3 linked regions of the Macaca fascicularis genome follow. The protein of the gene in region 2 interacts with the protein of the main gene of each other region in a biochemical or structural test. Links are inferred from orthologs where the notes say so. Each region holds a gene or a part of one and is shown on either strand. Other genes may lie near its edges.

The links.
Region 1: the proteins of DMD (region 2) and DTNA form a complex in vitro, tested with the Homo sapiens proteins (3 studies listed by BioGRID and IntAct, with this or other methods). The link is inferred for Macaca fascicularis from reciprocal best matches to the Homo sapiens genes DMD and DTNA.
Region 3: the proteins of DMD (region 2) and SNTA1 form a complex in vitro, tested with the Homo sapiens proteins (2 studies listed by BioGRID, with this or other methods). The link is inferred for Macaca fascicularis from reciprocal best matches to the Homo sapiens genes DMD and SNTA1.

The regions. Positions count from the first base shown.
Region 1 is NC_088392.1:55,350,926-55,355,325, forward strand, and holds the start of DTNA (dystrobrevin alpha), read right to left. Parts: upstream 2,837-4,400; 5' UTR 2,623-2,836; intron 1-2,622. UniProt on the Homo sapiens protein: May be involved in the formation and stability of synapses as well as being involved in the clustering of nicotinic acetylcholine receptors.
Region 2 is NC_088395.1:33,307,133-33,311,290, forward strand, and holds the start of DMD (dystrophin), read right to left. Parts: upstream 2,816-4,158; 5' UTR 2,580-2,815; coding exon 2,549-2,579; intron 1-2,548. UniProt on the Homo sapiens protein: Anchors the extracellular matrix to the cytoskeleton via F-actin. Ligand for dystroglycan.
Region 3 is NC_088384.1:89,447,789-89,451,438, forward strand, and holds part of SNTA1 (alpha-1-syntrophin), read right to left. Parts: intron 2,186-3,650; coding exon 2,000-2,185; intron 1-1,999. UniProt on the Homo sapiens protein: Adapter protein that binds to and probably organizes the subcellular localization of a variety of membrane proteins. May link various receptors to the actin cytoskeleton and the extracellular matrix via the dystrophin glycoprotein complex.

The sequences.
Region 1 (4,400 bases), on a different chromosome or scaffold from region 2:
TCTCGTATCCACAGATCATGTTTCCATGCCATTTAGTTGGATTCTAGTCTCTTTTTACTTATAATGTTGAGTGTGAGTTTGAAATTATATATATTGAATTTAATTAAAGTGAAAGATGAGAATTAAAGGAAATCTATGAATGTCAAAATAATTTTGAAACTCGTTATGTGAAGAAGCAATTAAAGTTTACTTGAAAAAAAATAACAGATGAAGACTTAAGAGACATCTGCCCAATAAAATGAATATTGTGAAAGCTCTATGATAAGCTCAAATGAAGAGTAATTCTCTAAATATGTGAGAGTAATTCTCCATGTAAGTTGGAGCTCACCCCATTGAGACCTTTCTTCACATCATGGTTCATTTAAAACAAGTGGAGATTTTAAAAGTATTTCAACTTAGAACTAATGAGAAAATCTGATTTCAGTCTTCACTGCTACACAATTCAGTATAAAGTACATACAATTGGCTAAATGACATGACAAACTCGAATGCCCTTAAAATACAGCTTGCTTCTAATCACTGATAGTCCAAAGAGAATTGCATAATTCTTTTAAAACTGCCCAACTCTCGCCAGAGTGAGTGGATTAAATACAACTAAACTTGCTCAAAAATCTGCAAGATGGTGGTGTTCTGAAGAAAACGATGGCCATGATCTGAACAAAGAACCGACTAATAACCTAGGAAATTTAAAATTAATTGCAAACACATAGCTTTAGCCATCTGCTTTACAATAATTTACCTTGTTGATACATCTTACCTGCTGAAAATCTCAACTTTGTTGTGAAATGCAACTTTAGTCACTGTAGGACATGCAACTTTAATTATTGTAGGACACTTGGTTAATTGTGGTGAAAGGAAACTACTCAAACATTATTTGCCATAATTTTAGTATTGAAAGTTAGAATAAGAAGAAAAAGTGGAAAAAGAGTTAATTATTCTGAACATGCAGCACATACCTATTAAGGCTCATCTTCATAGAAAGATGTGGTCAATATAGAAGACTTTAGGTATAATGAGTTGATTAGGGGCGCATGAAAAGTCCAACTAGACTCTAACACTTAATAAATGTATGACCTTGGGTAAGTTATTTTGCCTCTCTGTGCCTGGATTTTCTCACCTGCAAAAGTTGTTTATTAATATTATCTACCCCCCTGGTGGTCTAAGAATTAAGACGGTGAATCAATCTAAACCATATAGAACCGTGGAACATGTGGAACACTTTTTTCCTAAAGTTTCCACCTTTGGAATAAGCAAAAGAAAAAAAACCATTATTTTTTTAAAGAAATCAGTAACTGTACACTTCAACAGTACAAGTATCTCTTAGATTAGAAAGGAAACACAAGCACATTAAATGCCAAGTGATGACATATAACAGGAAAACATAAGCATCAACTTAAAAGACAATTTTTAGAGTAAGAACCTAAAGCATGGTAAGCTTCACTGCAAGGTACATCCAATATCTGCGCCTCCCTCTGCCCCCTCCCTGCCAAGTTCTACAGTTATCTTCCCAAAGTCATACCCTAAGCCTGCCAAAGAGCAAAGTTTTACCATCAAGTCCCAGGAGTGGTACCACTGATTCCCAGCCCCGGGGTCGCCACCCCCTTCTCTCTTTGGCTTTGGTCTTTTGACAGACACCTCTCTCCACCTCCCACTCCGGATAACAGAAGGAACCTCCCGCCTGCCCTCTGTCCAGCAGAAAACTTCGAAGTGGGCAACAGGCTATAAACGCCGAAGACACTCACCCCCGTCCCCACCCGTCCCCGCCGCCCCCCGTCCCCAGGGCCCAGAGCCCACTCCCACTCTGGCATCGGCCCGGGCACCGCAGTGCATTGCAACACGAGAGGACGCCGCTGGCTGCAAAGGAAACCATCGCGGATGTCCCGGTCAATACCCCTCAGACTGTTCCCCGACGTGAGTATCATCCCTAATGGAGGTAGACACGCCACCTCCCACCAGCTCAGCACGCGAGGATGACCAAGAGGGCAGCGACCACAACAAAAACAACTCAACCCGCGACGCGAGGGAGCCAGCTGCCATCGCCACCCCCCGAGCGGCGCCGCGGCAGCAGCGGGGGCTGCGGCGCTGCGGGGGCCTTCGAGGGCGGCGGCGATTTACCTGCGCGGCCCCGCGCCCCCAGGCCGGACATCCTGCAGCAGCCGCTACCGCCGCCCCGCGGGCCCGAGGCGCCGCCCGCCGCCCGGGGAGGCGCCGCGCCGCAGTCCTGGCTGCGGCGCCCGGCACATGCTTCGCGCTAGCCGCGGCCGGCGCCGGCGCACAGGTGGGAACCCCGCGAGTGGGCGTTGAGGCGAATCCCTGCCCCCGCCGGCGCTCTCCGCCCGCTTCCACTCTTGACTTTGGTCGGTGTGCGGCGCCTGCCCTTGCTCCAGCGCCGAGCCGCCTTTGCCCGCGCCCCGGCGCCGTGGGCGGCTGCGGTCCCTGCGCATTCGGGGCTGCGCGTCATGTGCACCTCCCGCCCCGCGGCGGGCCCCGCTGCACCGGGCGGCCGTGGGCAGCGCGGCAGCCCGGCCTCGCGCCCACTCCTCGCCCGGCACACGGACCTCCTCCACCCCCGCGCCCTCCCCCACTCTGGAGCTGTCAAGGAAGAAAACGCCTTGCACACACCTTGGAATGGACGGGCGCTTCAGTCACCGACTCGCCAAACTCTTAGAAGGCGTCCATTGGTCTGCAGGGAGGTTTGAGCCTGGAGTAGGAGCCGCTTTCTTATTATTTAATAATGTTGGAAGTGCCGGGTCCGCTGCCAGAGTTGTGGGTCATGTGGGCACAGCAGAGGCTGGCTGCTGCCAGTACCAGGGTTTCCTGAGGATCCTGAAACTATGATCTCATCCTCCTCATCCGCCTCCCCCGCCCCTCTCTCCGCGGGCGCGCACGCACAGCACACACACACACACACACACACTCTCACACTGAATGCACTATCCTCCTTCCTGGACCGAAATATTCCTCTAGGGAAATAGTGGGCACGCTCATCATTGAAAAAAAAAAAAAAAAGAAAAAGAAAAAAAAGAAATCCTTCCAGATAGAGATTTTTCTCTTCCAAAGCTTGATTTATGTGCTTTGTTTATTTCCTCCAGTTTTCCCTCACACGTGCAGGAGATGGGAACAGAGACTCAGAATTAAAATTAAAAATAATTATTCTCTTATGTTGACCCAGATTTTGGTCAGAACCCAAGAACTTAAACAGTACAATTTCAATTTAAAACAGAGGCAAAATATACCAGGCTTGAATATGGAATATTCTTAGATGTATGCAGTGGGTTTCTTTCCCAAGCTGCAAACATTCCCCAAACATTACCTCATTTATTTGCAGAGCATCTTTGCAGAGGAGGTAGATGAAAAGGCAAATAGTATTGTCACTTCAGAGACACAGAAGCATAAGTAAGATAACATGACCTACCCAAGTACACATAATAAGTCAATATCTCACTATAAATATTAATTGCACAGCTACTCACAGGTTGCTTTTTCACTGTAATCAATTCTCAGATACTTAGGTTACTGAAAATAATGAAAACATTGTTGATTATTTTTAAGTTACCGAGACTGAAAATTATTTTTTCTTACTATATGTATGTTTTCATATAATTTTCTCTAGTATTGTATTTCCAATTTCACGTTTTCATATAATTTTATTTCTTTTTGGGGGAATGTGTTGTGTGTATGCATGTGTATGCGTACATTTATATCCAGTTGCATTGTTTAAATGCTTAGATAGTAATTTCTAGCAAATTGAGCCAATGTTTCTGAAGTAGTCACCAATTTCATAATTTGTATATGTCATTGAAACCCTTTTCACCTGGTGTATATGAAGAGCTATGCTACATTTTGAAGGACATAAAGAAGTTTAATACAAGTACTTTTTAGTTTACATCTAGTTGTTGAGACAAGATACATATACGGAATGACTGCAGATAAAAATCTTTGTTATTTTGGTGTTGTGAGTTATCACAAAGAAAGCACAAGATACTTTTATTTTCTTTTTACTTAATTTCTCTTCCATGTTAAAATCATCTCATTTGCCTATGTGCCCTATATTTCAGTCTTGTCATTAACCCTCCTACCTTCTAAATGGCCAACGTAATTATGTGTAACCTTGCCCTTCTCTTACACTTTCACCATACTCACATAAACAGTAAATGGGGAATGATTTATATTGTAAAAGTTCTCAGAAAGAACACTCTTGGGTAGCTTCTTTTCAGTGTAGATAAGAAATTCGAGCAGCTAACTAGCCTTCTAATAACCCAAAAAGAAAACAAATAGTATGAAAGAGAGAATGGTCAGAGAAAAGGCAGAAGAGAAAGGAGTCAAGAGGGGGGAAAAGGAGGGGGAATGAAGTTACAAGATAAGAAAGTAAAGAAGAGAAGGAAACAAAAGGAGAAGAA
Region 2 (4,158 bases):
TGAAATAAAGAATAAATTGATGAAAGAGTATGATAAATCATTTTTAATAAGTTAGGAAAATATTACAATAGAAAGTGGGAGGAGAAGGAAAGTTTGGGAAATCAGTTTGTTTTACTCTTGAGATAAAATTTTGATGAAAGATAATAAAATAGAATTTTGAAAAACACCTGATGTTTCCAAGGCAATGATTTTAATCTCTTTTATTAAACTACACAAGTGGTTAAAAACTTGACAATTTGTTTCATATATAGCAAATGACGTGGAGTACAGGGATTTCAAATGAATGCTATAGGAATAAAGAGGAAGCTGTATTAATATCTCTGCCCAAATGATGAATTTGCAATTCAGTACTGTCTAGCTAGAAGTGTCAACCAACACCTATTTCCCCTTAAATAATGTAATTATGCATAAAACACTTTGTAGTCTTTTTTAAAGTTTAGAATAACATCTATATGACATACTCTGTTGTATTTTTCATAATGTTATGCCATGTAAGATACACCAAAACTTTGTATTAACAGTATATCATCAATTTAGATCAGCGATCTCTTTTTCATAGTTAAGATGTCTTTAAAAGATTCTGCAAATGAAATTCTAAAAGATGATTTTGTTAGACCTCAAGATGACTTACATCATTTAAATATATTCAAATGAAATATCTATTTGCCATACACTATTTGAATAATTCTTTACAATGCATTATTTGAGTAATTCTAAAAGTAAACAATACAATGTGTTTGACAATACAGTGATCTCTTTTACAGAGTAACTATTCTGTTTAAAAAACAAAATGTACTTTTATAAGTTTTTCAAACTAAGGCGAATTTACAAACCAGATTCAAATGTCAGACATCCAAATAGTAGTATATTGTCAAGCAACAAAATTTAATGTATAATATAGCCCTGAGTATATCTCCATTTTCCTTAACAAACTCATTGTCATGTTGCATAGGCATTACTTGATGATTTTTTAAATGCAGTGTGAAAAAATCCTACAGGACATGTTCCAAAAAGATTACCTTCCTTCACATTCGAAGAACTGAAAGTTTTTCAACTATCTATGACAAAGCAGAGGATAGGTTTACCTTGCTTCATTCCAGCAGAATTGCATATATTCTTTCAAAATTGCTCTATATACTGGTATATGTGGTTAATTATATAGAATATATATATATATATAAAATCACTAGCGATTTTGATAGTATTTATATTACATATATCAAAGAAATAAAAATGATAAATAAAAATATGTGTATATGTGTATATTGCAAACAACAGATATATGCCATGCATATTTTTGTAATGATAGTAAATATAATAGTTTTTCAATCTAAAAGCAATAATGATACTCACCAAAAGAAATTTATGAAGCAAGCAAACAATGTAACTAAATGTTGTATTATAAAATCTGGTAGCTTTTAATGTGACTCAATACATGGACAATGTTAACTTATTTCCACAAATTTTTCACAGTGGTAAAACGTCTGCCTTTTTTTTTTTTTTTTTTAGTAGTTGTGGAGCATTACTTATTTGGAGAGACTTATTTTTTCATTCTTAATTATAGGCATCGCTCTCATATCTATTTTAGAATAACTATACTCCACAAGTCAAAGATAGGTGGGGAAGAGATAAACTCCCATCTTTTTGGGACACACAGTCCTTATCATATATTATTTTTACTGTTGTGCCACAGTCCATTTTTAAATCCTTCAATAGTCATCATGACTTTCTTAAAAATAAACAAAATAGTTGCATTTCTATATGGAAGACAAACTAAAAAATTGAACTGAAAAGCTAGCTCATGATAGACTTGAAACATCTACTAAATATAATTTACTACTAAACATAATTAGGAGTTCCTCAAGTTTGTATGTTGTTTTCCCAAGAGATCATCTGATCATTTGATAGCATAGATCACATCATTATTTGAAATAATCATCATGGTATGCTATAGAAAAGAGCATTTGAAATAGTAAATGTGAGAAAGCAACATTACAATTAAATCTTTATCAATACTTTTCACATCCTTCAATTTTCCATCCCAACTCATTTTATTCTTTATTTTCTCCATATGTCAGAGAAACTTCTCCTAACTTTTAGGCCTCCATGTAGTTCCTATACAGTAGTTAGTTCAATTGAGAATATATGTCAGGTCAGTAACCTTTATGTAACTGTTACTAAATACAGAAGTATCAACTAGTCAAAATAATAACTGAGATATACAAACTATCTCACAGCAATCAAAATAATCTGTTATAATCAAATGACATTCTGCATATTCTATTACTGCAGTGGCTTATTAATCAAGAAATCATGTGTTTAATTCTTCTGCAAAGAAAAACTTATAAACTCAATTTCTATTGAAAAGTTTTCCCAATGAAAAATATATATTCCTGAATAAATACATATATATATGCAGTATATATAACATTTATGCTTCTTTGCAAACTACTGTGATAATTTAAAATCAATCTACCTAATTAGTGAGTTTGTCACAAACTAAACATTATGCCACAGTAAAATACATTTTTAGTTACTTTGTACTTACAACAGTCCTCTACTTCTTCCCACCAAAGCATTTTGAAAAGTGTATATCAAGGCAGCGATTAAAAAAACCTGGTAAAGGTTCTTCAAACTTTATTGCTCCAGTAGGCTTAAAAACAATGAGAAACCAACAAACTTCAGCAGCTTTAAAAAAATAACACTTCAGTTTTTCCTATTCATTTTTCTCTGAAGGTAATTGCCTCTAAGATCTGAGTCCCGTAGGGGGAAAGTGAGTGATCCCAACACTGAGTGAGTCAACACAGTAACTGATGCCAGGATTCTGTAGAGGCCCCTGGATATTTCAAATTCCAGGACCTGCGCACAAGCAAGTGACCCGCCTTCTCTCTCAAGTTGGTTTCCCATAATAGGACTGTCCATGGTCACTACATATAAGGTTGTGCTTCCAGCATGGCAAGCTCTGTGAATTCAAATAATGCTCAACTGTGTTCTGATTAATATCCAAACCAGAATAGCACAGTGGACATAGTACTAGCTTTTAAAGCCTTCCAAACACAAAAACTATTCAGTACAAAACCATAACAATATTTTCTGTAACTTTCATGTGAATTTATAACAGAGCAGAAAATCCCGATTTAAAATTGACTTTTAAATGCCTTTTTTATCCTCTCAACAACACCAAAAATTTCACTCTACCAAATAAAAAGAAATGCCCAGAATAATCTATGCATTTGTTATGTATCCACTGCCTACCAAAGTTATTTTTTCCCCTTGAGATTTTTGATTGCAAAAGTCATGTATTGATGATGCCAACAGTCTGAATAAGAGAAGCAGCAGCAGAACACAGCAGCTGAATTCTGAAGGCAGAATGTGTGTGTAGGTCTCATGGGACATGTTTTCCTGCTAAAATAAAGAATATTCTTATAATGGAGCAAAGACATTTTTCTCAAATCCTAAATTTCAGTTGTGAATTATGATAAAACTTCTTTACTAACAAATTATTCTTTCTTCCATTTCTCTGCTGCCAATTCTTAAAACACCATTTTCTTAGACATTGAGTTAATGATCATTTAATGGTTCTGAATGCAGGCTCTTTTTTTTCTGTATTAAGTGAATGCAGTTGTATTATGTCATTCAGCATGTAAATCATTCTTTGCCAATAGAAGTCTTCTTCATCTTGTTCCTTATTACTTTTATGCAACAGGCGAGCCCCAAATTGATAGAAAACATTGGTAGCATTTTTTAAAGAAAGATATTCTTTTTATAGTTATAATAATCCCTACTAAAATTTTTGTTTGAGTGTTTTTATTGTACCATTTGTTAAAGTGACAGACTCATTTTTCTATGTCAAACATTCAACTGCTTGCGACTGAAATGAGTAATAGACAAAAATAAAAAAAAATTATAGAGTCAGACTGTGATGTTTACCTTAATAGTTAATTATACATTTTGCGTTTTAGAATATTATTGTCATAACATGGCTATTTTCCCCAGCAAAATGTGTATGAGATAAAACATAAGGCTTAATTTTAATTGAAAACATTCTTTTCCCTAGGTCACCTCCTTTCCTCTGTGTGGTTGTCTAAATATGCATATAAGCAAAATTTTCATAAAACAAAATGAAAAAAATGAAAACAATTGTTGTGGGGCTGATTT
Region 3 (3,650 bases), on a different chromosome or scaffold from region 2:
TCCCAGCTACTCGGAAGGCTGAGGCAGAAGAATTGCTTGAACCCGAGAGGTGGAGGTTGCAGTGAGCTGAGATCTTGCCACTGCACTCCAACCTGGGCAACAGAGTGAGACTCCATCTCAAAAAGAAAAAAAAAAAAAGTCAGGCACGATGGCTCACGCCTGTAATCCTAGCACTTTGGGAAGCCAAGGCAGGTGGATCACAAGCTCAGGAGTTTGAGACCAGCCTGGCCAATATGGTGAAACCTCATCTCTACTAAAAATACAAAAATTAGCCGGGCATGGTAATGGGCGCCTGTAATCCCAGCTACTTGGAAAGTTGACGCAGAAAAATTGCTTGAACCCGGGAAACAGAGGTTGCAGTGAGCCGAGATCATGCCACTGTACTCCAGCCTGGGTGACAGAGTGAGACGCCACCTCAAAAAAAAAAAAAAAAAAAAATTAGCCAGGCATGGTGGCATGCATCTGTAGTCCCAGCTACTCAGGAGGTTGAGGTGGGAGGATTGCTTGAGCCCCGGCGGGTGGAGGGTACATTGAGTCAAGATCATACTACAGTACTCCAGCCTGGTGACAGAGCAAGACCCTGTCTCAAAAAAAAAAAAAAAAAACAAGAAAAAGAAAAATGTATCCATGACATTTAAATAGATATACCTAAAATATAAAATAAAACAAAAACGAATGGGAATTGAGGTCTGGGGCCACAAGAAGGCCAAAGATCAATCAAGGACTCAGAACCTATTTGCTTCTGTGGCCTCTTGGACACTCCTTTAGGGAAACCAAGGCAACCCACCAGGATTTGGGCCTGGGACTCAACTCAGCAGCTTCTCTGGCCGTGTTATTCTCCATCAGCCCCCGCCACCTCCGTGTGTCTGTTCTGGGCCATAAGCCAGAGACACATTCCTCAGGCCTCCACTGGCTTCCAGAGCTGACAGAGTTTGAGGAAAGGGCTGAGCAAAGCAGAAACCTCTTGAGAGACATGGCACAAGATGGTCGTGGGACAACCTCAGCAGGAGGCCTATAACAACTGATGGGGAAGCTGAGGCCCACAGAGGGCAAGTGTCCCACCCAAGACCACACTGTGAGGGAAGAGTGGAGAAAGTCATCCAACAAGGTTCCACCACAAAACTCCTCTCTGATCATCGCTGGAAGGATCTGATGTCCTGCTCTATAAAAGCCAAGGCTTCCAGATGTGGCAGCTCATGCCTGTAATCCCAGCACTTTGGGAGGCCGAGGCAGGTGGATCACCTTAGGTCAGGAGTTCAAGACTAGCCTGGCCAACATGGAAAAACCCTGTCTCTACAAAAATACAAAAATTAGCTGGGCATGGTGATGCACACCTGTAATCCCAGCTACTTGGGAGGCTGAGGCAGGAGGATCACTTGAACCCAGAAGGCAGAGGTTGCAATGAACCAAGATCATGCCACTGTATTCCAGCCTGGACAACAGAGCAAGATTCCATCTCAAAAAAAAATAAAGTAAAATAAAAGCTGAGGCTTCTCCCAAAGGAAGATGGGTCTTAGGGTTTTAAGGTCCAGGAACCAAAAGAACCTGAAGTCAAGAGCTCTCCAGGCCCCAAAGGAAATAATCTGAGCTGCCCCTTCCCCAGTCTGCACCCCTCTCTCCCTGTGTCACTCAGGGGCTGGCACACTTTGCCATGTACCTTTTTGCCCTAGTCGCAACAACCCAGAAAGGCAGGAGCTACATCCCCGTTTTACAGATGAGGAAACTAAGGCTCAGGGAAATGAAGTGACTTGTCCAGGGCCACACAGCTAGTGACTGGAAGACAGAAAATGCAAACCAGTTCTGCTTAGCTCTGTGCCAGCTCTCCCTCCACCACCCCACGCTGTCTTCAGGCAGGTCCCTAAGTTCTGTTTCTATTTTCAATCCTGCCCATCTCCCAGCCCCCAGTGCTGGGCTGGGGCCTCTTGAGGCCTGGGGGAGGTAGGGAAGCAGTGGAACATGTCCACCCGGCCCGTCTGGACCCTGGAACGTCCGTGCTTACCCTCCAGCACCACCTCCTTGCCTGTCTTCTTGAGGGCCTGCACCGCCTCATCATGGGTAGCAGAGGACAAGTCTTCCCCATTCACGGACAGGATGGCATCCCCCACATAAAGAGCCTCTGTCTGGTCAGCTGCCAATCCCTTGAAGATCTTGGAAATGAGAATAGGCATCTTGTTCTCCCGGCCGCCTGCATAGGCACAGAAGGAGGACAAGACTGAGGCAGATACTCCGACAATTGGGAGTTGCATCGAGGCACAATTATTTCTGAAGGCTTCCCTTGGTGCCTAGCCCCGTGCTGGAAAACGGAATAGGAGAATAAAGGGAATCTGAGAAACGTCTTGGAAGTTTGGGACACTAGTAATACTAATAGTACATCATTTTCGATCAGGTTCGGTGGCTCATGCCTGTAATCCCAGCACCTTAGAAGGCTGAGGTGGGCAGATGACCTGAGCTCAGGAGTTCAAGATCAGCCTGGGCAACATGGCAAAACCCCGCCTCTACTCAAAATAAAAAAATTAGCCAGGCGTGGTGGCAGGCACCTGTGGTCTCAGCTACTAGGGAGGCTAAAGTAGGATTACTTGAGCCCAGGAGGTCGAGGCTACAGTGAGCTGAGATTGTGCCACTGCACTCCAGCTTGGGTGGCAGAAGGAGACCCTGTGTCAATAAACAAATTAATTAATTAAATGAATCATTTTCAAAATTCATAATGCTATAGTTTGATCCCTGGATCTTTTGATTAAGTGCTTTGGGTGTTCACTAGTGTTTGTGCAACTTACAAAGTGCTTCAATCACTTTTTCTTAAATATTTTGGATTTTCTCATGTACCCCATAAATATATACACCTACTATGTACCCACAAAAACTAAAAATGAAAATAACCAGATAAAGTGGCTCACGCTTGTAATCCCAGCACTTTGGGAGGCCAAGGCGGGCAGATCACTTGAGGCCAGTAGTTTGAGACCAGCCTGGCCAACATAGTGAAACCCTGCCTCTACTAAAAACATAAAAAAGGGCCAGGTGTGGTGGCTTATGCCTGTAATCCAGCACTTTGGGAGGCCAAGGCTGCCGGGTGGATCACCTGAGGTCAGGAGTTCGACACCAGCCTGGCCAACATAGTGAAATCCTGTCCCTACCAAAAATACAAAAAATTAGCTGGGAGTGGTGGTGGATGCCTATAATCCCAGCTACTCGGGAGACTGAGGCAGGAGAATCGCTTGAACTGGGAGGCTGAGGTTGCAGTGAGCCAAGATTGCACCATTGCACTGTAACCTGGACAATAAAAGTGAAATTCCATCTCAAATAAATAAATAAATAAATAAATAAATAAATAAAAACACAAAAAATTAGCTGGGCCTGGTGGCACACGCCTGTAGTCCCAGCTACTCAGGAGGCTGCGGCAGCAGAATCGCTTGAACCTGGGAGGTAGAGGTTGCAGTGAGCCAAGATCACACCACTGCACTCCAGCATGGGTGACAGAACAAGACTCCGTCTCAAAATAAAATCAAAATACAAAAATTAGCCAGGCATGGTGGGTGTGCCTGTAATCCCAGCTACTCAGGAGGCTGAGGCACGAGAACTGCTTGAACCCAGGAGGTGGAGGTTGCAGTGAGCCGAGATTGCGCCACTGCACTCCACCCTGGACAACAGAGCAA